Linked DNA regions of Medicago truncatula. The protein of the gene in region 1 interacts with the protein of each later gene in a pairwise test. Links are inferred from orthologs where the notes say so. Each region holds a gene or a part of one and is shown on either strand. Other genes may lie near its edges. The genes, in order: dual specificity protein phosphatase 1, transcription repressor OFP13, replication factor C subunit 2 and mitogen-activated protein kinase 3.

What was found.
Region 2: the proteins of dual specificity protein phosphatase 1 (region 1) and transcription repressor OFP13 interact in binary tests that used the Arabidopsis thaliana proteins (3 or more experiments, as listed by UniProt). The link is inferred for Medicago truncatula from reciprocal best matches to the Arabidopsis thaliana genes DSPTP1 and OFP13.
Region 3: the proteins of dual specificity protein phosphatase 1 (region 1) and replication factor C subunit 2 interact in binary tests that used the Arabidopsis thaliana proteins (3 or more experiments, as listed by UniProt). The link is inferred for Medicago truncatula from reciprocal best matches to the Arabidopsis thaliana genes DSPTP1 and EMB1968.
Region 4: the proteins of dual specificity protein phosphatase 1 (region 1) and mitogen-activated protein kinase 3 interact in binary tests that used the Arabidopsis thaliana proteins (3 or more experiments, as listed by UniProt). The link is inferred for Medicago truncatula from reciprocal best matches to the Arabidopsis thaliana genes DSPTP1 and MPK3.

The regions. Positions count from the first base shown.
Region 1 is NC_053045.1:56,691,341-56,698,666, reverse strand, and holds the start of dual specificity protein phosphatase 1, read right to left. Parts: upstream 3,014-7,326; 5' UTR 2,887-3,013; intron 2,752-2,886; 5' UTR 2,749-2,751; coding exon 2,620-2,748; intron 2,534-2,619; coding exon 2,398-2,533; intron 1,255-2,397; coding exon 1,134-1,254; intron 197-1,133; coding exon 51-196; intron 1-50. UniProt on the Arabidopsis thaliana protein: Has a dual specificity toward Ser/Thr and Tyr-containing proteins. Dephosphorylates MPK4 in vitro.
Region 2 is NC_053042.1:54,140,955-54,146,689, forward strand, and holds transcription repressor OFP13, read right to left. Parts: upstream 1,520-5,735; 5' UTR 1,354-1,519; coding exon 589-1,353; 3' UTR 503-588; downstream 1-502. UniProt on the Arabidopsis thaliana protein: Transcriptional repressor that regulates multiple aspects of plant growth and development through the regulation of BEL1-LIKE (BLH) and KNOX TALE (KNAT) homeodomain transcription factors.
Region 3 is NC_053044.1:43,607,557-43,615,013, forward strand, and holds the start of replication factor C subunit 2, read right to left. Parts: upstream 3,016-7,457; 5' UTR 2,900-3,015; coding exon 2,856-2,899; intron 2,754-2,855; coding exon 2,675-2,753; intron 2,596-2,674; coding exon 2,393-2,595; intron 2,293-2,392; coding exon 2,223-2,292; intron 2,136-2,222; coding exon 2,062-2,135; intron 1,498-2,061; coding exon 1,377-1,497; intron 1,261-1,376; coding exon 1,198-1,260; intron 1-1,197. Other genes in the region: uncharacterized protein, read right to left, coding at 5,961-6,215, 6,308-6,556. UniProt on the Arabidopsis thaliana protein: May be involved in DNA replication and thus regulate cell proliferation.
Region 4 is NC_053045.1:30,780,313-30,788,119, reverse strand, and holds the start of mitogen-activated protein kinase 3, read left to right. Parts: upstream 1-4,778; 5' UTR 4,779-4,905; coding exon 4,906-5,066; intron 5,067-5,186; coding exon 5,187-5,316; intron 5,317-6,496; coding exon 6,497-6,634; intron 6,635-6,747; coding exon 6,748-7,080; intron 7,081-7,331; coding exon 7,332-7,515; intron 7,516-7,642; coding exon 7,643-7,807. UniProt on the Arabidopsis thaliana protein: Involved in oxidative stress-mediated signaling cascade (such as ozone). Involved in the innate immune MAP kinase signaling cascade (MEKK1, MKK4/MKK5 and MPK3/MPK6) downstream of bacterial flagellin receptor FLS2.

The DNA.
Region 1 (7,326 bases):
ATATTGGCATGTTGATGTTTAATTATATTTAAGATTAATACAGTTTTAACCTTGAAGAGATTTCTCAAAGTCTTCCAGCTGACGAATGAAACCACGATTTGGAGTTGCTTGTGGTCTTTTGCATTTTACATGTTGCAGAGCTTCAGATAAGCTCATTCCCCGAGACTTCATCAGATATGCCACAATGATAGTCACACTAGAAGGTGGAAATAAATTAGAACCAAGTTTTTCCAGTTAATCTAATGAAAAAGAAAATAGCCAAATGAACAATATGAATACCAAGATTCTTAGTTCCAATATGACCATTAAAAAAGGAGGTAGTAAAATGCTGCATGAACTTTGTGCAGAATATAAGTGACAGGCCAATAGTAAACAAGGACATAATCATCATTCATGAATCTCAAGCTTACATCCCTAACTTTCCATTCTACATATTAAAAAAATCGATGGCATCTCAATTCATACTATAAAGCATTTTTAGTCTATTTCATTGAGAAGCATGCACACTTCAATTGTCAGTTCAAATGTTTAATATGTCAAAGTTCAAACGGAAAAGATCGACATGAAAGCAGATTTCTGGAAAAGAAAACAATAATGACAGGGAAAACAAAAAAAAAATCATATCTGTAATTTTCAAAGCATCAACAAGGTTTGTCATTTTCCATATATGAAACAATTTGACATTTAGCTCAACAATCATATCCTCAAATTCCACATGGCATCACATATATATGGCCATACTCAGAACATTATTACAATGGATTTCAAGAGATAGTATCATTGAACTAAAGACATAATTAAAAAGCTATAAGCTTCCATGACATTTTCCCAACTTTATAAGCAAAACATAATATCTGCTATTGAATAATAAAAGACAATGATAACAAAATAAAAATGTAAGGATTTTAAGAAACATTGAAATTCAAATATGCAATGTGCTGCTCCCAGTTTTTGCTTGAGAAACAACATTCCAGAAATTTAAACCAAAACAAAACAAAAATGCCTGAGATGATTGAGACATAAAACAGATTTCAACTTATTGACACTTGTCTAAAGTAAAATAATAGTCTGTACAATGAACAAGAAATGATCCTATGTAAGCAAGAGAGAAAGATATAAACAGCGAAACTTACCTCCTCGATCTTCCAGCATAACAATGAACCAAAACACTTCCACCATTACTTTTAGCTTCATCAATAAAATCAAAACACTCTTCGAAGTGTTGTTTTAAGTTGGTATCCTCTTTGTCAGCAACTTCTCAATTTTCCAACAAAAGTGTAACTTTAGTATGGATATTGTGTACTAGATGCCTAAAAAACTTAAGACAAAATTAGAGTGTAATCAATATAATCATAATCAACCTTAATGACAAGCAACATGGACCTGAAATGTTGTGCAGTCTCATTTAATTGATCGCAATATTACACGAGTCGGTTAAAAAGGAACTGACATTCTGAGATGATAACATCTATTATAACAAAATACAATTTCTAAGATAGAAGGAAATTTTTTGACAGCAACTGCATGCTAAACAGATTGAGATCCTCTCTCTAGTACTCGACACATCTAGTAGGAGGGAGAGAGAGAGAGAGAGATGAATAACTAAAAAAAATATTACATCAATTTCTCTCCTATTGAAAATGTCGAGTAATGGAACAATCTCAACACATGCTAAACTTTCAAAGATCAAAGCACGCTTTTTCATAATTGCAAAGAAAATGCTAAACTTTTATAGATCAAAGCACGCAATGGTCATGGAGTCAAGGTTTTGCTCTCCACCTGAACCCGCCTCCCAAAACCCACTCCATTGTCACCAAAATAAAAATTAGGTACCCGACCCTGTCCTAATCGGTGTTCTGTAAAACCCACCCTACCACCACTTCCTTCCTTTTGCCCTATTTTAACATTATTTCTTTAAATAAACCTTACATTAAATGCAATACAACTCAAATAATCCATAAACATGGAAACTGAGAACCTCAATAAGGTAACAAAAGTTAACATCCAAATCATCTTACTAATAAAAATAGGTAACCTCAACCTTATATTTTGACTAATATTGTAACATTATTGATGAAGATATGTATTTCCAAACACACCCTATCCATTTGTTTAGTCCATTATATAGTGAATTCACTTGCATTACTTTGATAGCCACAAAACCAACAGCTCCGAAAGACCAAAATCAAAAAGAATAAAACCGCATCATTGTCAAAATCAGTTCCAGATCATCTATGTAACACCGACATCCCTGATTAAAGGCGTGTCACCGACACCACATTGGATATGTGATTACGTTCAGTTAATTCATTTTCTCAAATTTTTACTAGTGTCAATGTGTCAGTGTCATGTATGGTGACCGTGTGAGTGCAATAAGTAATAATAAAAGAAACATACCATCTATAACTTTATAGACGAAATCGGCAGGATGTGCAGGTGCAAGTTTCCCAGCCACAGTCAAAATGTGAGTAACATTCACATTTTTTAAACCAACCTTGTTCGTAGCAGAACCAACTGAACCCAAAAACAAACCCTAACCAAATATCATTCATCATTAGTTACAAAATTCAGAAGAATAGTGAAGATAATAACAAAATGAAGCTTGATTAAGTAAACTACCTGGTCAATTTCACAAGGAATATTATCCTCTTTCAAGGATTTATTCAAAAGCACAACCTTCAAAATTAATGCAATTTGTTTCTTCATCGATTCGTCGAATTCATTCATAGCTTCTGATGTTGAAGCCATTTCCTAATTCATACAAATTCAATAATCGTATCAGTGTTAACTGTTAAAGATATATAAATAATCGATTGTGATGAATATAATCAAATTCTGGCGAATATAAACACTTGAACTGATAGTACGAAAAGGAGAAGAACTCACCAATAAAGCGTTTACGATTTTGCATAGAGAAACTCCACTTTTTTTTTTTTTTTCTCCTTGCTTGCATATGAGAAGTAGAGAACATTTATTTAGCCCATTAAAATGCCAATTTTAGTCTCTTTTTTTTATATAGAATTTTTTATCCTTTTGAAATTTCTATTTTTAATTTTAATTCTTGCGTTTCATTTTTTAATCTAGCCAAAATTGTTCCACACATAAATCGAAACGAGCTTCATTTGAATAATTTGTCTTTTATGAAATACAAAATTAACTTGAATAAGAAAAAGATATGTACATATATAAAAGTAATTGAGTGAAAAATAATTGGTCATCTCTTCCTCCACAGGTCGAGCTAGAAATTTAACAACGGTTAAGGGGGGACATGTTTAAGTGTGCGTTTGGTTCAGCGGTGGAAATAATTGATTTTGATAGAATTGAGTTTGATAAAATTGATTTTTGAAAAAAAGTGACTTGAATGTGAATTGATTCTTAGAATTCTTGTTATTTGAATGCATAATTACCAAAATGAGTATAAATATCTATTTAAAATTATATTTTGTTTCTATTTTATATAATTATTCAAATTTATGTTGCATTATCAATTTAATTATTTGTAGATTAGAAAAACTTCTAAAATAAAATGCATGTTAATTTGATACTTTAATTTGAATTAGGTATACTATATAAATATTTTTACACATATTAATTAACAAATTTTCTCTTTGTACAAAAAATAACAAATTTTGTCAAATGGTTTTTTCTTAAAAAAGAATCTGTAAAAAATGTAATGGGCTTGCATAAGAGGAGAAATTAACTAATAGGCCTATGAAACCCAATTTCATTTTGTGAAAATTAAAATAAAATAAATAAATACAAACCCAATTCCATCTTTTCTCAAAGAAAGAGAGAGAATGTTGAAGTTTGCTGGGTAACATGAAGGCAGAAACAGGGTCGAGAAAGAATTTGAGCAACAAAAAATTCATCACTTTTGCTGTGTTTTATAAAACTTTGTCGAAAAATGAAAAAGAATATCATGGGTAATTTAGGAAAGTACATCAGCCACCAAAAGTTGAATTCCTAAATTGCTTTTGAAAAGCTCCAACTTTTAGCTTCTGGTAAACGTGAGTTTGGGGGTTGAATCACTTTTGCAGTTACCCAAACACCACAAAAATAGAAAAACTGCTTTTGAGTGCTTCAGACTCACGTTTGTACCCACAAAACGGGTAACCAAACGAGCACTAAAAGATATTTAGTTAAACAAAACAAAAAATCTCAAATGCACTACATATATAAGAATTTTAATCTACATTTTATGTTTTTTTTTTAATAAATCTACATTTAAAGTTAATATTAGGAGAAGAGAGAAAAATTATATTTACTTATTTGATTTAGTTTATGAAAGTTACTCTTCTCAATTCCCCAATTTTCTATTTTCGCAATTGTTGTGGGTCGAGTGACACTTAACTATCGTTCACCTCTCCAATGTACCGCTACGAGTATTTTGGTATTTTCAAATGGCAGGGAGAAAAAATGGAAGTGAGAAGAAAAAATATCTTATTTTATTCTATTGTCGCTTTTATAATTGACATACTTAAAGGGTTCTTTTTTTTCATAAATGACAAATGCTCAATGTTCAAATAATCGAGGACTCCAACAAAAGAGCTAATGACGGGGGACCACGTTCACAATACTAGTGAAATAGCATAAAATTAGTAGTATAAAATTTTTAAGAAAAAAATTGGGGGGGGGGGGGGGGGACGACCTCCCTTGGCCACCCCATTACCTTTGACCTTGCTTCTCTCTTTTCCAAACCTTAATCGTCACCAATTTTTTTCTTCTTCACTATCCTAGAAGGGTGAAGATACTTGAATAAACAACTATACTGATGTTTAAAAAAAACAGCTATATTGAGTAATTTAATAAACTATTGACTAATTTAATACTACCATATCGTCAGATGCTAAAAAAATAATTAATGAGTGTAGATCTCTACAAATTTTTGCACCTCTCGCTATCTCTTCTTTCACTCTTTTCTTCATCAGCTGCATTAATATACCTAAACCCAACACCTTTGTGTTTTAATCAATAGAAAATTATATTTTTATGTGGTTTTTCTGCTGTTGAATGTTACTCCTGCTCATCTATATTGTACATGTGATTATTTTGTTTTGTTTTTGTCTGTGAATGATATTTAAGAGAGGATCATTTGAATTGTAGATCTGGTTTGGTCACAAGAAAACCTCTTTGTAGTGTATCTTGAGGGTGAAGGTTCCTCTAATGATTTGTGTTTGAAAATTATCACAACTTTAATTTAATCATATCATCATATATATCTATATAAAAATATAAAGCTATGGTGTTCAACATTCTTGCTCCTTCTTTATGCTTTTCACATTTATTTTAAAACTTGTCACGCTAAATGACTTTGATGAGTGCGTCGGTTTATCATAATGAGTGTGTGAACTGTGATATATAAGTGGTATAAAGAATTTCCTAAAAAAAAAATGTAAAGAAAGAAAAAAAAGTAAAGATTTTAGGTGTTGGGTGTTCTTTATCTTCTTTTCACTAATAAAAAAAAGGTTAAATATGTTTTTAATCCCTATAAATATATCAACTTCTCATTTTAATCCCTCTAAAAAATTTCTTCGACTTTTAGTCATCGCAAAATTTTGCATCTTCACTTTTAGTCTCTCATTTTAAGTAAACTCATATATCTAGAATTCATATTTTTGAAGAAAATTTTACATAAAAATTTATAATATTATAGAATCTCTCCAAAAAACAATTTGAATTTTTTAACAAAACATAAATTAAATATGAATTTTTATATTTTTTGCGGTTAAAAACTCATATTTAACTCATGTTTTGTTAAAAGAGAGATTTTTACAAGGGTTAAATATGTTTTTAGCCCTTAAATTTTGCATGACTTTAAAAGCATTTATTAAAATGTAAGGACTATTCTTCAAAGTCACGCAAAATGTAGGGACCAAAAACATATTTAATCTTAAACTAATTGGGATCTACTAACTGTCACATCAGCATTCCGTTAAAGAATTAACAACAATGACTAATTTTGATAACGGAGATAAAATGTGAGGATTTTAAAAAGGTTTAATGAAATGTATGGACTATTCTTCAAAGGGACGCAAAATGTAAGGACTAAAAACGTATTTAACCCTTTTTACACAATTTCATTAAAAAATACATGAGCCGATTTAAAAATAAAGACCAAAAGTGATGATTGAAATTTTATAAGGACTAAAATCTTGAACAAAAATTTTAGGTGACTAAAATAAAAATTTAGTATATTTATAAATTATAGGGATCAAAAAAAGATTTAACCTAAAAAAAAATGGTTCCCTAATATTGTCATACAAGGTACAGTTTATGTTAGTACAAAATCAGAATCTTCAAAGCTTGGAGATGTTTACAGACATTAGCTTTTGAACCAATGTAGAAGTAAATCATAGGTGATAAGTCTTTTTTGTCTGCACTTTATGTCAAAATTGGGTTTTCTGTATAGGCTTTCATCAATTCAGTTTGCAACTGCTGAGGTGTTGAAATATTTTATTCCTCAAGATTATTAAAACATGAATGAGCAAGCTTAACTTGTATCTCTGAGTATTCAATTGCTGCAATATTTGGAAGTTTGCACTGCAATGTTTTGTATTCAAATTAGATTAAACAACTTGTATTTCTTAACTTTACATGGATTGCTAAATAGGAAAGCGAGAAGTGGTAACTGAATACTTTTGCGAAAGAGAAAAGTTGTAAAACCAAGAAGAAGGGTAAGGTACTACCACCGTATCAATCAAAGTTAAATACTAAAAACTTCCTACAATTTCAACACACCGACTCCAAAATATTCTAGTATCTTTTACAAAGCAAGAACATCCAAAAACAAAATGCCTGGATATACAAAGGAAAAAGAAACTGAGGCATCTTGAATAGATGTTCATGTACTGTGTCCTTCAAATTCAATTGCATGCTGCCTTTATTTTCACTTGCTTTCTATTGTAATGTCTGAAGTTAAATGTTTGGAATAACGATGATCATTAAAGTGTGTATGCATCTCGTCCAACCCCAAGTGAATTTTGATTCCTTGCTATTTGAGATTTTTTACATTCACACATTTTAAACTATAAAAGAAAAATTAAAATCTACATATTTTTAAACAATCCAATGTTAATCAATCCTTTACAATATCCCAAATGCGTGAACGCGGAAAATCTTAGTTAGATGAAAATTCCTACCAAATAAATAAATAGAGGGAGAGGTTAAAGTTGAACGATAATGTAAGAATCAAAACCTTCCCTTCTGGTCAAAACTTCTCAACACCTACACTCCATTATTAATTTCCCTTACCATACAAAAATCAAAAGCTATATAGAAAAAAGAAAGCATGTGTGAGATGCAAACTGCAACTGAAATTGTACTCTT
Region 2 (5,735 bases), on another chromosome or scaffold:
ATTTTTAATTTTGTCAAAATAAAATATAATTTAGACCAGTGAGGTTTGGGAATATGCATGTTTGGTGTACCGCTTCATTTCCTTCCAAAAAGTACATCAAGGCTGTCGTAAAGATTATAAGGAATCGGTGGAAGCCAAAGACAAGATGAGAGTGCAACCTTCAAGAACAATCTTGTAGATAGTTTTTCATCAAATGCAGATTTTAAATGTGAAGAAATGGAGTGTCCAAGATTCCAACCCCTACTTCAACATATAATATGAAATATTTTTATCAACTGAGTCAAACTTACGGAGATGTATTTAATTCATTTATATCGTTTTAGTGTTGAATTTAGAACCATTTTAAATAAATAGTTTTTAAATTCTTCGGTCACTTAGATATCTTTGTTATTATTTTCTCCCTAAACATGATTAAAGTAGACTAAAACTCATCTTGTTAAGTTATGATTCAAGTTGTCCTGCATCATAACTTAATTAACAACAAACCACAAAACAAAATCACTATAACTTAATTTTCATTAAATTTTCTTTCAATCTACAAAATGTACAACAACAAAAAAGGTTAAAACTAGCTACATCTAATTAATACTAAGAAGCTGTTACATTATTATTATTATTATTATCTTCAATCTCAGTAATCTCACTCTGTCCCTCACATAGATACAAAGGTGAAGAAGAGGCAAAAGAAGAAACAGCAGAAGAATATAAAGTTAAATTAGAACAAGAGTTATTAGAATTATTAGAAGCTGCTAAACTAATCAACAAATCAACAAAAGCACCAACAATAAACCCATGATTATTTTTACCATTAACTTTCAAATACCAACTCAAAAGCTCTTCCAAACCATCCCAATCTTTCACACCATGAGACTCAACAATCTCTTCCATTGATCTCTTAAAATCTTCATATGGATCCTCTGACTCCATAGCTAACACAACACTTTCTTTGAATGGAAAACCATTAGCCTTCGCCTTTTCTAAGATCGAACTCGTGTCTTCTGCTTCGAAAAACAATCTCTCCGACTTAACTCCTCGTACCAATGTCTCCAATGATTCGCCGTCGTTGTAGCAATAGTAATCTTCTGATTCTGTTGAGAAACTTGCAGATTCAGATGATGTTGTGAACCATGATTTTGGTGTTTCTATATTAATGTTGTCTGTTTGGTCAAAAAACACAGAATTAACCGTTTTGAATATGTGATCATCAGCAGCAGAAGTAGAAGCAGCACCAACTCGAAAAGAAAGAGTTTTTGGATGGCCACAAGAGGGTAAGAATTGCCATGGATGTTGTTTTCTTTGTGAAATTTCTTTGGTTTTGAAAAGAGAAGGTAGTTTCAAATTTTTCTTTCCCATATTGTTTGTGAAGAGAGGGTGGGTTCTATGAGTTGTTGTTGTGTTAGGAGAGTATTCGTGTTTGTAATAAATTTGATGAGAAATGAGTTATTTAAAGCACAGGATTGTGATATGAAGCAAAAGAATATGACAAGGAAATGGGGTCTGGTAGGTGCTTTCATGTGTGAATTTAATTTGTAGGTTAGTAAAATTCAATGTTATTCAATGCACGCATCAACAACTGAATGTAACAGCACTCTTTTCAGAAGTGTCAGTCTCATATCTTCCTAAAAAAAATGTTAGATATTTTTAATTTATTTTTAAAAAATATATAATTACCATCAAGGTAAGAGATTTAAGTAATCTCAAACAAGTGGTCGGGATTTGATCTTTTCATATTTGTGTATGGAGAAAAATTGGTTAAAAAGGATAATCCATCAGTCAAATATATTTAACGACGAAGATTGAATAACGATAAATGGTGTTAAATATTTCATATGTATAATATGATTGTAAAAAAAATATCGAGTATCTTTTTATAAAAAGAAAAAGGTATGTCAATTTGGCTCCGAACCTCAGGGTTCATATAGTGTTGACGTAGATACTTACATATTATTCGTTCACGACGACCTTAGATCAGTAAATAGATCTGGATCTAAGTTTTTGTGGTTTGTGAGTTCTCAACTGAAACCTTATCAATTAGATCACTTTTTTAGTATTAACCCTATGATTCATAAAGAAAAGAGATTTTGGTAATCTAGAGTTCGGTTGAATGGTAAATAATGAATTCAATTCATTTTTGAGAGAGCTTATTAACGATTTGAGTGCAATACTTGATTACCTACTAGATCAATTTGAATCAACTAGGTTAGCATGAAGAAAACAAAACATAACCGGTAAAATGCATTTATTATTGTCATATGTGTTTGACCTCGTGAGGGCATATTTCTTTTTCTTTTTTAAAGAACATAAAAGAAATTACTAACAGTAGACCAGGAAACAAATGTGTCCTTCATTGGCATTAAAATAAAACCATTACACATTTATGGCAAAAGTAGGAAATTTTCCCATAACCTTTTAGTAGGGTTGAGAGAGGCAAAAATTTAGAAAACAAAGTGAAGTCAGTAAGGTATAAAATTAGTGAAATTAGGTGAAAAAGACATTTATGGCATATTATAAGTGAAATATTTGTGGTTGGAATAGAGAGACTAAGAAAATTTTGCTAGTAGTAGCTTATATGAACCGAAGAAAAGAAGGTGAATTCTTGTGATGTTTTTAAAGAGGGAACGGTTGCATCACGCATACTGTATCTATTTATTAGAAAAGGATGGTTTTGAGATCTAAAAAAACTAGGCTCTGTATTTATTAGGAACTTCTTTTTATTGTTTTTACCTCATATACTATATATCCCTGTCACATTCAATAAATAACCCGTCATTTGGATAGAGGGAGAGATACCATATGATATTTCTGCTTTTCACCCAATAATTTATATGTAAAGATTTTTTTTTTACGGTTAATTAACCCGTTAAATCATTAATCACATTTAACTTTAATATTAATTACTTCTAAAAATCACGTGTATGATTAGTTGTGATAATGTAAAAACCGTCTCACGCAATATGAGATATACAATAAAGGAAAGAAAGTGATATAAGAAGAAAAAATAATAGATTTGATGTAGCAAAATAGAGAGGAGAAAATGGGGTAAGAAAATCAAGATTACAATTGAAAATGTTGTATAGAGTTAGTACTTGATCGTGCTAGTTGACTTGTTTGTGAATGGCTAAAAAGAATTAGTAAGTAGTAATACACAGTTGCATATCCATTCTTTTATGTACATGCATAATGCATTACATTCTGTGATCGATGTACATGAATGTTTGTTGGCCACTAATAAAATAGAAATTCCCCCACTTTGTTGCAGCATAGTGCTTTATAAATTACTAGTAATAAATAAATTATACGTATGCATTGTTTCTCAATTTATGATCATCAATATATCCATTTCCCAAAGTTGACCAATCCTCTCGATAAGGCCCTTGTGCTTACTTTTGTTGGAATGAATCGAGTTGACTTTAAATTAAGTTGATGAATTTCAATTTCTTGAGTTGCTTGAGGTAGTTAGTTTCGATGATTTGCTACAAATGACAAAAATTGGTTTCCTAAAAATAAAATAAAAAGGTTTAGTAGTTCTAATTTTATGTGCAAAATGCACACAAATTTGGGTTGTGGTTTGAGGTACAGGTTAATAAATTGGAGGTCGGGATTCAAGTCCAAATTAGATGAAGAAAACATACTAATATTTACTATTAAAAATATGCAAATAAATTGTTTGACAATTGTGTTCAGAATATTTAGAACTACTTTACAATTAAGCAGATTTATTTTGTAGGAACCGTTAGATTTGAAGAGATAAATTCCACCGCCCATGCATCTTTTTTTTTTTTTTTTTGTGGTGACCGAGGTTCGAACTCCGACCCTTGTATATATTATACATTATCCTTACCAATTGAGTTAAGGTCACAAGAATCCAATTCTAAACACTAAATTGTCAATGTATGTTTGATTCTATTTTTAGAGAATTAATTATTATTTTTAAGAAGTTTAGAGAGAGAGAGAATTAAAATTGATTTTAAATAAGTAAAATTATGAACACTTAGAATTAAATTATTGTCACCGTAACATTTTATATTCGAAGATCAATTTTGTTTTGTATATTGAATATCCTTGAAGACAAATTGTTTAATTATAATTTGCTGGCATTGTAGCAACCACCTTTTGATCAATCCGATGGTATCTATAAACCATTAAAGTTGACTCCATATCAAGCTTATTAGTTACTATTAGCTAGGGAGTTGGGATCTCTTATCCAAAGCTTCACACCTTATCCTATAGAGAAAACTTAGAAATAATAATGCACCTGTTTTTTCTGTGACTAAACAAATGCTTGTACACTGATCCATGTGATCATGGGTCCTAAAATAATGGCTTAGTTGTAGATAAAAGTAACACTTAGCAAACTTGAAAATGAGGTTTGAGTAGAGGTCCCCAACATTATTTCTTATCAAATTAAAGCCATTAAGCTTTTAATAGTAAACATGACAAAGAATAATTGTAACCTCATGATACATAAAAGGAATGATAACTATATTACACTAATGTTGATGAATCAATAAGTACTTTGGTAGTGATTACATCCAATGGATGCCTTCTACTTAAGGAGAAAACTCCACGTGAATTTTATATTGAATAACTGTCATTTAATTTTAGGCCCTTGTTTTCACAAGTCTGGTTTTACTATAGATCCTCGTGAATCTATATGGATATTTAATTTCCCACTTGCACTGTTTTGTTGTCCCATTCTTATGAGAAAAATATTGTTTTTTTTTTTTTTTTAAGTCTTACATATATTTTGTTAGTTCAGCAGAAAGATAAATAAAATCTGATAAATAATTATTTTGACGAAATTTGAATCCCGAATCTCTCAAATAAAATAATCATATGAGAAAATTATTGATGAAAATGTTTTTCTATTATGTATAAATTTACACAGGTTACGAAGTTCAAAGGGATAAGTTTGTCTTGAAACTTATGTATTTTATATTAAAATATATAATTTTTTAATAAATAATTTTTGGGCGAAAAAATGGTTTTAATCAGATCCCTTTTTCAAAATAATCACAATTGATTCTCTCAAATAAAAAACTAACAGAAAGAATACAAAGTCCAACCAATTAAATATTATCATTTTCATAATAGATGCCAAAATTACCCCTACAAAAAACAGATAGCCAGAATTTGACGAAAATTATACGAGGATCTAAAAACAATAATTATCCTCCCCTCAAGTAAAAAAAAAAAAAAAAACAATGATTATCCTATCCTAAGAATTTAAATATATTTAAGCATATAGTTTTTTTTGTGATTGGAATTTGCCTACGGTATTGGATATTTGGATGTTTCCTATACTAGTGAGTAGTGCCAGCTCCAAACTAGATGACGATTAATTTTATTCAATGCAAAATCGAATAAGTTTATTTTTATCATGATTCCAATAATGAATATGAATAGTATAGTAGAAATGAGATGAATATGAATAATTTAATTTCTCCAATGTGTTTGAAATCTCTTTTTAAATTAGTAGTAGAACCGTAGAAGTGATATCCTTGTGTGGAATCTTTGTATCATTATGTCTTCCGAATCTTGGGTTCTAAGAGAAAAATATAGTTGGAAGTGAACTGTTATGTCTCCAACTACACTTATTGGCTATTGGTCATGCTCCATGCATGGATGCACATGCCAATTTCAATTTTCAACTATGGTTATTCCCCAACCTCTCTGTTTCAGAATTGTTTAATTAACTTCCTAACGAGTATAAGGTTTTTTTTATATTATTTTAC
Region 3 (7,457 bases), on another chromosome or scaffold:
AAATACAAATTCGATACATAGATGCAATGCTCAAAAGCTTGGTCATTATTATTGTTCAAGAATAAATTAATCAGTACAAACTTCGTGAAGGTAAGTCAAATAAAAAATATATAAACAATCCCTTTATTATCACTAAGACTGCCTTGATTTGATTCTATAGTGGCAATATTTTTTCAACTATAGTGCATAAGAGAGTTCACTTATGCAAACAAATTAGTTATTAATGCAAGGTAAAAGCCAAATCTACATGGAATCAATTGGATATTTCTTTTATAATATTTTCGAAAGGAAGGAGCAGGTTGCAAATAAGTGCCCGTATTACAAATCTATTCTACCAAGTGTAACAGAAAAAGATGATTATTAAGGCAGAAACAGTAAGAGTCCCATATCGGCTGCGTGTGAACCAAGTCCCATTTTAAGCATAGGCAACCCTCTTATTAACCCAATATGAACTCTCCAATTCACCATCTTTCAATTGAACTTATTTTCAAGAAAGCAGAAAGCTCAAAATTTGAAAGCTTGCATTCCTGCAATTGAACTCTCCCATTTATAACATATGTGAACTCTCCACTGCATCAACTTTCCATTGGCTTTAATTATTGAACCAGGATACGAAAACAAAAAAAGAATGAGAGCATACTGGCTACAATTAAACAATTGTCAACACCGGAAAAATATTTTTTAGTAGTTTTGCAATAGAGTAGTGATATATGTACAACTCTTTGGTACAACTTTCATGACAACTTTGGTTTTCTCTCTTTTGATTGGTCAAAAATAATAGAGAGAGAGAGAGAGAGAGAAAAAGGAAGAGAGGGAATAAGAAGATAATGTGAGTCTGAGAGAGAAAGTTGTCAAAAAGTTGTTAGAAAATAGTTGTACAAATATCATTTCTCTTTGCAATAAATAATAGTTTTTCTATTTCCTAATATGTAGCATTATCAACAAAATTCCTAGTTGCCTAGTTGGTAGTTAGTTTGGCAGAGTCGAGCAGAATAAGCATAGCCATTTAAGACATGCAGACGTACATTATTCAAAGTGAAATGGCTCATTTATACAAACAAAAAAAAAAATAGAATAGAAGGAAAATAAACACCGTGTAATAATATCATTAAAATAGAAGTAACACACTTTTTTAATAGGAAGTAACATAAGTTACATGTCTGAAGATATACTTTGTTGATAAGGAAATGTGCTCACCTGCAAGTATGTTATAGCCCGACGGAGATCTCCTTGAGAAATATTACTTAAAGTTGAAAGACCCTGCAGATGCAAAGATACTATAACATAAGCCGCTATGATGTCAACAATACCTCTACAGACAGGATCAAAACCATTAAAAAATTGCACAGTGGCCATATAAGCTCTAAGGCTCCTACCTCAGCATCAAGGTAGATTCCTTCTTCTTTGCAGATGTATACTATTCGGCTGCTCATGATTTCTTCTGTCAGTGGCTTGAACCTGAATTTTGCACACCTTGAAGCAAGTGGTTCTATAATCCTACAAAAAACAACAATCTTGTATAAAACACGTGTGTCCCCTATCGTCAAAAGCACAGACAAGAACAGTAGGAAAAAAAACTATACAATGTATTGCTTTAGCTTTATAATTTTCCTTTGTATTGATCATGATATTTCATATTTGTGCATACATTTTAATTTTCTTGCTGATATGAGAAAAACAAAGTATGTAATAATCAAACTAGAATAAAAACTGTCCTCGTGAGCATAGCTCAATTGGCAGGGACATGCATTGTTATATGCCGGGGCTGGGGTTTGAACCCCGGACACCCCACTTATTCACCTTTAAAAAGGTGAATTCTAGCCACTAGGCTACTTGAAGAAAGAAAAAAAACTAGAATAAAAACTTAATTTATTTAAACAATGATAAAGATGTATATCAATTAAAATTTGATCTTAAACATATCAAAGCATTGGGCCAAAACCATGTACATCAAGGTGATTATGGTTTCATAGAAAATGCCATTGAGTCCTTAAAGATGTGAAATTGAAAATGCCAAAGGAAATAAAAAATCAGTAAATGGTTTCATAGAAAACTATGTACCTGCTAATGTAGTTGCATATAAAAAAGAACCTAGTAACTTTAGAATAAGTTTCCATCGTTCGCCTCAGTGCATTCTGTAACCAAATTGCAGGTGGTATGAAATCATTTCACTTTATTAATTGAACAAGCAAAGGTTGGAATGAAAAACAGTGAAAACATACCTGAGCATCTTCTGTCATTGAATCAGCCTCGTCGAGAACAATGATCTTATACGGTGGACACGGATAACCACTGAAATATCAGAAACCCAAAACATAAGTTACAAAAATCCTATAATAAAATGGAGAAAAAACAAAAGCTCAAAAATATATTGTATTCCACTTTCACATACTTCTTAGGCTTATTGGTACCCACAGCGACAGCAGCGAAATCTTTGATCTTAGTCCGAACAACATTAATACCACGATCATCACTAGCATTAAGTTCCAAAACCCTAGATTTATAGAGTTCAGGTCCGAAAAGCTGATGAGCGATAGCGAGGGCAGTAGTGGTTTTTCCAGTGCCGGGAGGACCATAGAAGAGCATGTGTGGGCACTGTGAGAGAAAATTGAAGCGAATAGGTTAAGAAGAAAAGAGGGTTTAGGGTTTAGAAATGGTGAATTAAATTACTTACGCTTCCAGTTTCGAGAGTGTTGGTGAGTACTCGAACCACTTCTTCTTGGTGAGCTACGTCTTTCACTTGCTTTGGACGGCTGAAACATATTGGGGAGAAATTAGATTAGATATGCGAAGAACATAAATTAGAGAAACAGAAAATTGGAATTGAAATTGAAATGAAGATGTAAAGTGGTTACTATTTCTCGACCCATGGTTGAGTGCTCTGAATGATTGGCGCCATATTAGTAATTTTCTCTTCACACACGATTCTCTGCTACTATACTAGTACTAGTTGCAGCCGGTGGTGGGGGGTATTTGTGTTGTGTGATACAGATTCTCTGCGGTCAAAGAAATCCTGAATTTACACAGTCAGGCAAATGTGAGCCGTGTGATTCATCTAATGGTTCAAATACAACATGTTACAATATTCCTCTCTTTGATAAATTCACAAAACATTTTATACCTTATCTCTCTTAAACAAACGAAAAGCGCATCATGTTCCTCTTGAACAAGAACAAAGATACAATTTTATGGAAACAAGTTTGAAATAGATCTGATACAATTTAAGGCACAAACATTCTTATAGACTACGACAGTTACTTTAACTCGTCGGAAATTGGATTGATAAGCTTTAAATGGCAAACTTATCCCACTGAAACCTTGGTCTTGAATTTGGAACCCCAAATCCCATTGAGTACAATTTTCTTTCAATCGAAACACAACGCACAATTTAATTTCACAAAGAATATTCAGAGTTGAAAGCGGTGGGGTGGTCTTGGTGAAGCAGCGCCGGCGGAAGGGATGTGGTGGACGGTTCGTTTCTTCCGAGAGAAGATGTTTTGTTGTCTTGGTAATACACGTGGCGAAATGATATACGGTTGATTAATCTAACGGTTTATTATTTTCTGACTGCAGCTGCGACTGCGTGAAAGAGTCAACTGCAGTAAATCCTAATCCGTATTTGTATAGGGCACCACCATTTTCCCGCTCTCTTTGCCCTGCAACGCAGCGTTTCATACCACTGGAGACGAGTTTGTTTATTTTTTTTTATGTTAATAATAAGGAAAACTAGATAGATAACCCGTGCACCGCACATGTCTGTTTAGCTTAAACATATCTTCAAATAATAAAATAATATTTCAAATTTTAAAGATCAAATGTGTTCACAAAATGAGCACTACAACATAATAATAAAAGTCTGAATTTCATCTACCAAAAAAAAAAAAAAAGTCTGAATTTCATAAATAACTAATGGTCAATTAAGCAATATAAGATAAATAAAAATAGAACAACAAATATAGCTAAAGTTTGGTAACGACATATAGTAAACCTTTTTAAATTACAAATTACAAAAAACTTTTTCGAGTAAATAGTCAATTTCCCCCCTGAAATTGTAAGTTTCATCAATTACTCCTTGAAATTAACAAAACTTCAATTACCCCCTGAAATTTCACAATTTTAGTTAATTTACCCCCTCCGTCAAATTTTTCTGTTAGTGAACATGACGTTTTGTAAATACCCCCCTGAAGTTTTGCACTTATGTGCAAAATGCCCCCCAAACTTAAAAATTTATATTATTTTTTTCTTAAAAACAAACAATTAATAGTTAAATATTAAAGCTAACTATTAATTTTGGAGTTTGGAAAAACTACATACATATATACATCAAAATAGGGAAAAATGTGTATTTTTAAAGTGACAATAATGGTTATTTCTAATAGACAAATTATTATTTTTAGAGGTTTATAAACAAATTAATAATCAGATTTAAATTTATATTTTCTCCTTCACCATCTTAGTCTTTTAACTCCTTCAACAATTTGCTCAAACCATTTAAACTACACAACCCCCAATATTAATCCACAAATCATTCCATTATTGTCACTTTAAAAAATACATATTTTTCCCCATTTTGGAGTCTATTTTGATGTATATATGCATGTAGTTTTCCCAAATTTCAAAATTAATAGTTAGTTTTAATATTTAACTATTAATTGTTTGTTTTTAAGAAAAAAATAATATAAATTTTTCAGGGGGTAATTGATGAAACTTACAATTTCAGGGGGGAAATTGACTATTCTTTTTCATAAACAACGTTAGATGTCATGTTAGTTTGTTCACCATCTTCGTCCGTGATCGAAATCTTCGGTCTAGAAGTAACTTTTGAAACAGCGTAGAGTTGTCCATAAAAAGGCACCAGTGTCGGCAGATATACACTATATTATAGACAATAAATTTTAACAATTTTAAACACAATATTTCCAACATTTCCTAAATTTTAAATTATGTTATGAATTAGCACTTTGAAAGTATAATGGCTTCGTGAATTTGAAACATGGTGACTAACCTTTCCATCCCTACTATATTACTCCCTTCGTCCAAATTGTATGATGTTTTTGCCATTTCACACATATTAAGAAATGTAATTAATATTGTGTGAAAAAGAGATATTATGAGTTGTTTTACAAAATTATCCTTAATAAATGATATGGAAAAGATAAATGAAAGAATTGAATAAAGAAAAAGTAATAGGAAAAGTAACATTAATGTTTCATTGGTATTCTAAAGTGACATACAATTTGAGACAAATATTTTTTCTAAAGTGACATACAATTTGGAACAGAGGGAGTAATTATTATGAGATTTATATACTCCTGTTAATATTAATTTTTTTTATTAAACATAGAACACACTTAATGTTGAATTCATTGCTTCTGGTCATAATCACAAACAATAGAATCAAGGTTTCTGATGCAGTTTGTTTCCAATGCAAAGAGCAATGATCTAACATCAAAAACTTTGAAAACATCACATGATAAATTGTATCCAGATAAAGTGTAGTTTTTTATTCTTTATATATTTAAGCATATACATCTTCAAGTTAAATCAACAACACACTAAAATTTCGTGCAACTAACCCCTTTGATTGTTTATGCACTTGCATATTATTTGAATGAGGAAAAAATTAATTAAGGTGCAGTATCACCGGTGACGTTGGTAAGGGGCAATTATATTTTGGCTTAACCTCCAATTTTACAATAGATTGGCATAAAAAAAAAATTGGCATAGAAATAAATTGCAATTATATTAATTAAGCAACATGACCTCAAACTGAATAGTCGTCAGAATTCAAAATTACAAAATAGAAATTGCAAGGAAAAGAAAAAAACACAAAAATTTAAAAAACTACAGAACTCCATCAAATGAAAACTTAAGACCAAACCCAAAAAAAGCTTACTCCCCGATAACAAAAAAATATCCACTAACGAACCAAATTATACCTTCATTATTGCAACCAAACCCTAACTCCAACTGACAGCGATGTAAAGGGTATCGTTCTTCCCAGTTGTAGGTGCACCAAGTCTGATCTTCACACCATCACAGAGATTACGCGCGTCCACAAAGCGTTTCCATTCACCATCGATCCTATTGTGCTCATACGGAGCTGAACCAAGGATTAATATGCACTCCCACATGTTTCCACAGTCATCAACCAGCTTAAGTGATGTAGAGGCCTTGTCCAAAGTGTGCTCAACAAATCCTTCATACAACAGCATCTACAACAAAATTCAAATTTTAGCAAATACTACATGACATGGATTAAAACAATCTTGGCAAAAACACGTATGAATGGGTAAATCAACATTACCAGGTAGCCTTTGGTCACGTCGCACTCTGTCAGAGCATTAGGAAAATCAAAACGAAAATTGTTGTTGTCATGTCGATAGGATAAGTTAGCAGTAAAGGGAGGTAGAGTGTTATCAAAAGTAGGTTGCACAAAAGCCTTGTCAATCACGAACTTCATTGGAGGATCAAAAGGTGGAACCTTTATCTCCTTTCCAAACCTGTATTTCACAATAATATCAAATTGTCCTAATCCCACAAACACGAGCGTCATCCATGCACCCAACTGAATCCCATAAAAATCATGTAGTTCCTTCCATCCTTTTGAAAGAAAAAAAAGGTATCTATTAAGGTTTTTTTCTAAATTATCTTTGAAAAATAATGGTAATTTACCCACCAAGCAATCATAATGAGTAATTTATTGGTGGAGTCAAGATAGTTTATGGATACCACCTAAAAAGGTGAATGTTTATTGGTTGGGGTAAATTATCCACCATTTTTCCATGGGTACCCTGGTTGTCACCATCCATTAATCCTCTAGACCAAAAGTTCAAAGTGATTGTTTCTTGGATCTATCAAGGTTGCAAACCGGGTTATCTGATCTCCAAAATCAGCACCAAACATGTTTGGCAAAACCAAAATGGAAATAAGATCAGAAAAAAAAACTATATAATACTGAAAACCGTTTTTACTGTCAAAAAAAGAATACACACATTTTCCACGTCTTACTCCACACCATACGACCTTTACTTCATTCTAAGCTTGTTAACAACTCTGTCGAGATCGGAAACAAGGTTTGGAACCAGTGGACCTAACAAATTAACAACGTAAACCGTTAGTTACACAAATAACTGCTTAATATGAAACACAATAAAGCTAAAACAATCATATCGACCTCTTGCAAGTCGTAATAGGGGAAATTGGCTATGACAGCAATCAAGTTAGAGGAGCAAATAGAGAAGAAACGTTTCTTACGATGAAACCAACAACCAGGATGATATGAGCAGCAGGATGATATACATGTATATATAGGAAACAAAATGGATGGGAAATCCGGTGTACACGTATGGGAAAGCCAACATATATGGTGAGTGGAGAGTTTTTAGTTTTCAAGGCCGCATCGCAAAGGATGAAAATTAATGCAGTCTATTGTATCAGTATAGCACGTTGAAAAA
Region 4 (7,807 bases), about 26 Mb from region 1:
CCTTGCTAATTGAGGACTAGGTGTTAGCGAGTAGTAAGTGTTGCATTTTAGAGATATTGACTTTGAAATCAACCACATTAGACAACTAATTTAGGGTGACGAAATACTCTTAAATCTAGAGTTTTTTCACGTCCGAGTCAAAATCAATAAGTTTGTTTAGTCTTTATTTTAATTTATCTAGAATTTTTCGGCGAAAGAGACAATTGTTTATTTCTTTTTAAATAATCCAAATGCTGCCATAAAACCCATAACCAACGAACAAATGATCAATATTTTCAGCTTGACCTCACCCACTCGAGCAAAGATTAGAATTGTGGGGAATAATACCACGATAAATCAAGCTATCCTTTGTTGGAATGAGATTGAGAAGCATCCTTCACACTACTATATCCCACACATAATCATAATAATCAAGCAAACCATATTGCAAAATACTGGAAGAAAGTAAATGGTTGGCCACTTGGCAGAGTACCCTTTGCCTGGATCTAGGCTCCAATCTCACTTGTCACCCACACCATCCTTGAAAAAAAAAATGTTAGACAACAACATACTGCACACACTCATCTACTCCTCCTCCCAAGTCAAAAGCCTACGCCACCATTTCCACCCATCTTCCCCGTCCCCCATCTCTGCCAGTGAAACAAAATGATTCTTCAATAATGAATATAGCCACCTAAACCTATCACTCATCACCCCTCCATCCAATCACTAGACTGACCAAAAGAAAGTCTTGGTCCCGTGACCCACAACCCACACCAAATTCTCGTCAAACCAACTCCCCACACCCAAACCTACACCTCTACGTATGGTCATGATATCGTGCCATCAATGTGAACCCATACGACCACCCTTTTTCACCCTCACCATCCTCTACCCCATACTTCGCTACCAACACCTTAAACCTTATACTCGATTGTTCCGCCTGCATTCTCCAACACCACTTTTATAACCATGGTAAATTAATTTGACTAATCCCCCTAACCCCAACCCTCCTTTCTCTTTATCCGAACAAATATTATCCCAGTTGATCCATGGTGATTTCCTAGACACCCCCCCACCAAAAAAAAAAAAAAAAAATCAAAATATAGATTTAATAGAGGAAATTATATATACATATGATGAAGTCTTCAAGAAGGAAAGAAAATAGATTAGGAGTGATGACAAGACATATTTAAGAAGAAACAAACGATTATCCAATAGCAAATTAGTTTAGTTAATGCAATTTAAATGGGTGATTGATTCAGTTCATTATGTGGTTAATGAGTTATTATATAGTTTAGTTTAGTTTTTTTTATAACCACAAATAAGTCCATGATTACCGACATTCAAATATTTGGTTCATTCAATTTATTACTGTTTAATGAATTACAATTATCAACTAAACATATTTAAAATGCTTTAAGCATGATCCAAGAACACTTAGATGAGAAGACAATATCTCTATGTTGGTATGAACAATGCATAATGTATGCAAGGTTTACTTTCTATCTGCATTTCATAAGGCTCGAGGGAGCGCACGGAAAATACTTTTTTTTTTTGAGAGGACGCACGGAAAATACATGTTTTATGCAAAAAAAAAAAAAGTCTTAATCATGAAATGAAAAAATGAACCACGTTGTGTTTTAAAAAAAAAAAAAAATCAATTTTCAAATAAATAAATATAATTGAACTACATCAAGATATTTGTTAATCACATAATGAACTGAATTAACTATGTTATTAAACCGTGTAACCATATAATAAATAAACAAACAATGTTAAGTGTCAAAAATCACCGTTAAAAAGTGATACCATTAACCAAGTACTATACATAATTAATCATTTATTTGTGCCAAAAATAGTTCAACTAACATTTCTGTTTTGAAATATTCAAGGTTCATCTAGTTTGAAAAAAAAAAAAAAAAAAAAAGAGTCAAAAATATTGTTTGAGAAAGTCAATAATGTTTAATAGTTTTCGAGGTAGTTATAGTATCAAGTCATCGATAGAAATAGAATGAGAAAAGAAACCCCCATTACCACTTACCATTGTCATGATATATTTATTATTATTATTCATTCTATTATCTGTAGAGAAGGGGCGCCCCGTGCTTCGTAGGTGAAGTTATTCTATTGCTGTTATTATTTGACTTTGTTATTCCATGTGGCTTGTGCATTTGTTCCTCACGTGCACATTATTGAAATGGAAAACACCAGATATTTTGTTTGCAAATATGAGACTAGGTCGTGTCTGAAATTTAATTTCTGTACCAAATGTTGACTCCTGAATAATAGGAATACATACACCTGCTATGAAGTTTACTCAATTATGAGACATGTTTAGGTCATTTTTAAGTTAATGTTCTATAAATTGAATCAAAACTAGCCGTCTAATTGGTTGAATTGTGGATCGATATTATTTATGATTAAGTTATTTGAGCGGTTTAATTGTGCTTTCTTATGTTTGAGCAAGTTAATAAAGTAGCTAAACTATGATATAGATATCTTGTCGATTGAGCGTCTGATTTGATTTTGGTTCTTAGGAGAAGGAGATTATGATAATTTAAAGCAAGTAAAATCTAATTAAAAGTTGTCCGAACCAAGATTTAATGTTTTCTCAAATGATTTGTCATATTCTAAATTGATTAATCACTTTGAGTTCAATCCATAGGAAATCCAATGGTTATGTAGTAACCCTAATCTTAATTATAAAGAATGACTCCCACAAAAAAAAACTTCATTTTTTGTAGTCAAGCTTCACCATAATTTTAAAATAATGAGTATGGTGTCAAATTGTGGTTACTATGCAAGTAAAGCTTGCAAAAGTTTTAAATTTTATATAGAAATATCATGCATAAAACAATTGAAAGATGACAAGATTTGAAATGTTTAACTATTCAATGAAACTTATCAAGGATATGTATATGAAGGAGAGAACTATTCATGAAGCATAAAATACAAACAAATAACTCGTTGAATTTGAAATGATCAGAAATGTGAATGACTTTGACGAAAGATTCTTGGACAAAAATTTGAGTGCACATTGATAAAAAAGAAATTTAAATGACTAAACAAAGGGTATAAAGACAATAGCTTGAAACGGAAGACGAGGAACGAGAAAGAAAGCAACAAATAATAAAACAAGAACAACAACATGAATGATTGAAAAGAAATTTCAATAAAGCGTAGAATTACAAGAATCCACACATCAGATTTGTGTCATGTTAACAAGAAAATATTAACGACTGTTGTTTAACCATATAAAGTAATAATTTTTATATTGAAAATTATGTAATTATGACTTTTACATGTGTTTGACTTGTATTTTTAAGATAAAATTATTTCTCGTTGTGGGTTCGTTAAATATTACTCTTAGCACACTTGTTAGCAAGACAAAAAAAATTACATATCAAGAAACACGTTCATACACATTTATTATAAAAAAATATTTTGGTTTTAGTTTTGGTTTTGGATTGAGAAAAGATAGGTGGACACCCCGTCCATCCAACCTACAAAGTATTATTACTTAACAAGTTTTTTTATATAGGTATTAGTACAACTTTATGCTACAAATTTGGCAGAGAATCAAGCCAGTAAATAAGTAGAGGATCAATAGGGTAATACATATTCTCACGCATATTGTTGGTTTTTGGAGCAATGTAGTGATAGAGAAGGATTATAGTCGAGAATATAAGAATGAAATCATTTTGTAATATGAGAACATTTTTATTTTTCCTTGCTTAGATTATCAAGAAAACCTAATCCACGGTGCCTTCAAACATTATGACGATCAAGTAAGTTAAAGGGCATGAGTGTGAGGTTTTAGGTTTTAGAAAATGTGTATTTGAATCTAGATTGACAACTTGGATGACAGTTGAGGGATGGTGTACCTGTAAACATTACGACAATCAAGTAAGTCAAATGTCATGAATGTAATGTTTTAGTGTTTAAAAAATGTGTACTTAAACATGTTTCATAAGTCAGGTTTTATAGGAAAAAGATAAAGGATTTTTTTTGGATAAAAACCCTAATTGAACAACTTTAGACATATCATTGTGTGATATTCATCATATTGTCCTACAAGGATTCCGAAATCTGGTTTTTGCGTATCTTTAAGCCTGTCCAAAACATAGTCTAAGATGAGTTAACATTGTTAGAGTGACCAATTACTACAAAGCAATATTCCTAACCATTTGCATAAAACGTTCCAAATGTTAATGTCATTTGTAAAAACATTAATTTAAACTAAACTCCAATTAAATATACATGTGTGTTTATTCCACATGAAAAACAACTCCTTATCTTAATCCTATATAATACATAAAAAACAGCTGTCAGATACAAATTGCCTATATATGTGCCAGAAAACAGTTGATCAATTATTTGAGTCATTAATCATTCTTAACTAAAATTGTAGTGATACTAATATATACGTATATGATCTCTTTTTAATGACGGAAAGAGGGGCCTAATTAGTCCATTTTAGGAGAGATTTTAATTTTATATCAAGGTGTAGGTATCAGTCAATTTTTGTATATAATATTTAAATCCCTCTGACTTATTTTATTTCTAATGATATTATATTTTAGTCATTCATTAAGATAGTAGTTGAAATAATTGAACAAGCTAAGACCGTAGATTAGAGGCGGCTACAATCACAACCGTCCGATCAAAAATACAAACGCGTCGTTCTTGTAACGCGCGTGTGTTAATCTCCTTCGCGCGTTTTCGCACCTTCTTCGTAGCATCTTCTCCGAAAATAGATTCTATAAAATTCAACGTGCTTCACAAGCCGAGTCAATAACTCACTATAAACATTATTTAAATTGAAATTCACCGCCTTCTTCTTCAACACACTACCATCGCCGACGCTTTCTAGAGAGAGAAAAAAATTCTTGAGAGTGAAGAAAATCAAATCAAATCAAATCAATGGCCGGAGTTAACCAAAACGGCGTCGCTGAGTTTCCGGCGGTTCAGACTCACGGCGGACAGTTCGTTCAGTACAACGTGTTCGGTAATCTTTTCGAGGTTACGGCTAAGTATCGTCCTCCGATCATGCCTATTGGTCGTGGTGCTTACGGAATCGTTTGGTATTGCTTCGTATAATCTACTTCTTTTTTGAATCGGTTTTGTTTATGATGGATTTGATTTAACGGTTTTGGAAAGTGAGAAATGAATCTGATTTGTTTTTGTTGATGTGATTTTTGAAGTTCGTTGTTGAATACGGAGACGAATGAGTTGGTTGCTGTGAAGAAGATAGCGAATGCTTTTGATAATCATATGGATGCGAAGCGTACGCTCCGTGAGATTAAGCTTCTTAGGCATTTAGATCATGAAAATGTGAGTAGTTATCTTTAAATTCTTAATTACTAAACTTTATTTGATTAATTAGATAGTTTCATTGAATTGACTTATTCCGGTTTATTCACTGCATAAACATTTTGAGAGTGTTCAGAAGAACTTATCAAAACGGCTTATGACATGTTTATAAACTATCTTTAGCTTATTTATTTTTGTAAGCTATTAACTTCTAAAAATACCAAAAAGCAGTGTAACTTTATTTTATATTTAATTATAAATAGCTAAAATAATCATTTATACATATGATAAACACTTATGTTATAAGCTGCAAATTAAGTTGTTAATCTATATGCTTTGTATGGTATAAATTTTCTAATCTGTGTGAAAAAGGACAATTAATAGTCAATTAAGGTAAAACTATTTGAAATTCTATATGGCTTTTTTTAGCATTGCTGCTACTTTCTGCGAAAGGTTCTTAAGTACCTATCACTATCATTGTTGTTGATAATATCGCGTTGACATTTCAAGTCATACATGAAGGATTGAGGAATACAAGTATTGTACGTAATGATCATGGAAAATTTGGTTCCTATTTTAGGAGTCGTACATTAAATGATTTTTTTTTTTGAAGTAAAAGTGTCGTACATTAAATGTTGAAAAATATGTGTGGTGAGTAGCTACACGTTTGTTGAGATTTAATGGAAACAAGCCATCTCTCTTGACAATGGTGGACCATGATGATTGAGAAAAAACCAAGTCAATAATGGAAAAAGATAATGCCCAAAAGAATAATTATGAAGAGTGTGACACCAATTATTTGTGTAAGGCTGAATTAAGTTCAATATCTAATAATAACTTATTGCTTTTGAAAAATATATGACACAAATTTAGTTAACAGGACTAATAAATCTTAGATAGGCTCTGATATCATCTTAAATTTTGGGTTGGTCCTAACTCAACTCTTACAAAACCGGCCTTTAAAATGGGTATTGCCTTCATTTATAATCACATTTTTTGGTCTTTTCTCACTCAATGCGGGACTCTTAACGGTTATATTTTTTTCCTTTCGAATAATACATAATTGGTTCATGCCTAATTGATTACTTTCATACATTTTAAAGTTTACACTGTAGTTTAAGTCTTAAAGTATCAAATGTGCAAATCTCAATTTGATAAATGTATATTTAGTAATGGTTAAAATGTTTGTTTTTTAAAACAGGTAATTGGTTTAAGAGATGTTATTCCACCACCCTTGCGTAGAGAGTTTAATGATGTTTACATAACCACCGAACTCATGGATACTGATCTTCACCAAATCATTCGCTCTAATCAAAACCTGTCAGATGAACACTGCCAGGTCAGTGTTTTGAATTTGTTGTTTTTAGTATCAAAATCATTGCCTTAACTTTTTTGCGCTGGAATTAATTGAACTACTCGTTTTGCTGATGATTGTATGCCTTGTACTTGCAGTACTTTTTGTATCAGATTCTTCGTGGGCTAAGGTATATACATTCTGCAAACATAATCCATAGAGATTTGAAACCAAGCAACCTGCTGTTAAATGCAAATTGCGACTTGAAGATTATTGATTTTGGTCTTGCGCGACCAACTATGGAAAGTGACTTCATGACAGAATATGTTGTCACGAGATGGTATAGGGCTCCTGAATTGTTGTTGAACTCCTCAGATTACACCTCTGCAATAGATGTCTGGTCTGTTGGTTGCATTTTTATGGAGCTTATGAATAAAAAGCCTCTGTTTCCTGGCAAAGATCATGTGCATCAAATGCGCTTATTGACAGAGGTAAGACTATAGGAATCAGCATAACTAATCATTTTCTTAAAAAATTTGCATTATCTTAAACGACACTTATAATGTGGCGGATGGAGTAAAACATTACACTAAATGTTTTCTCTAGTTGCTACTTACTCATATAAGTTGATATTCATATAAATATTTCATTATTAATGCCTTGAATACAATCAATAGTTTAATCATAAAAGTAGTAATATATCATATATGCTTAATTGCTTACACTTGTTGTTTTTCTACAGCTTCTTGGCACTCCAACTGACGCTGATGTGGGGTTAGTAAAAAATGACGATGCGAGAAGATATATCCGACAACTTCCTCAGTATCCTCGTCAACCTTTGAATAGGGTTTTCCCCCATGTTCATCCCTTAGCCATTGATCTTGTCGATAAAATGTTGACAATTGATCCTACCAGAAGAATTACAGGTAATTTTCTCATCCTTGCATTCATTTATGTCTCTATAGCTAGATAAAGCAGTAATGGGTTCATTTTGAATATAATGTTGAATTACATTGAATAAATTTTCATATCTGCTTGTTTAAATATTGGCAGTTGAAGAAGCACTGGCTCATCCATACCTTGAAAAACTGCATGACGTAGCTGATGAACCTATCTGCATGGAGCCATTCTCATTTGAGTTTGAGCAACAACATTTGGATGAAGAACAAATAAAGGAGATGATCTACAGGGAAGCATTAGCACTCAATCCTGAGTATG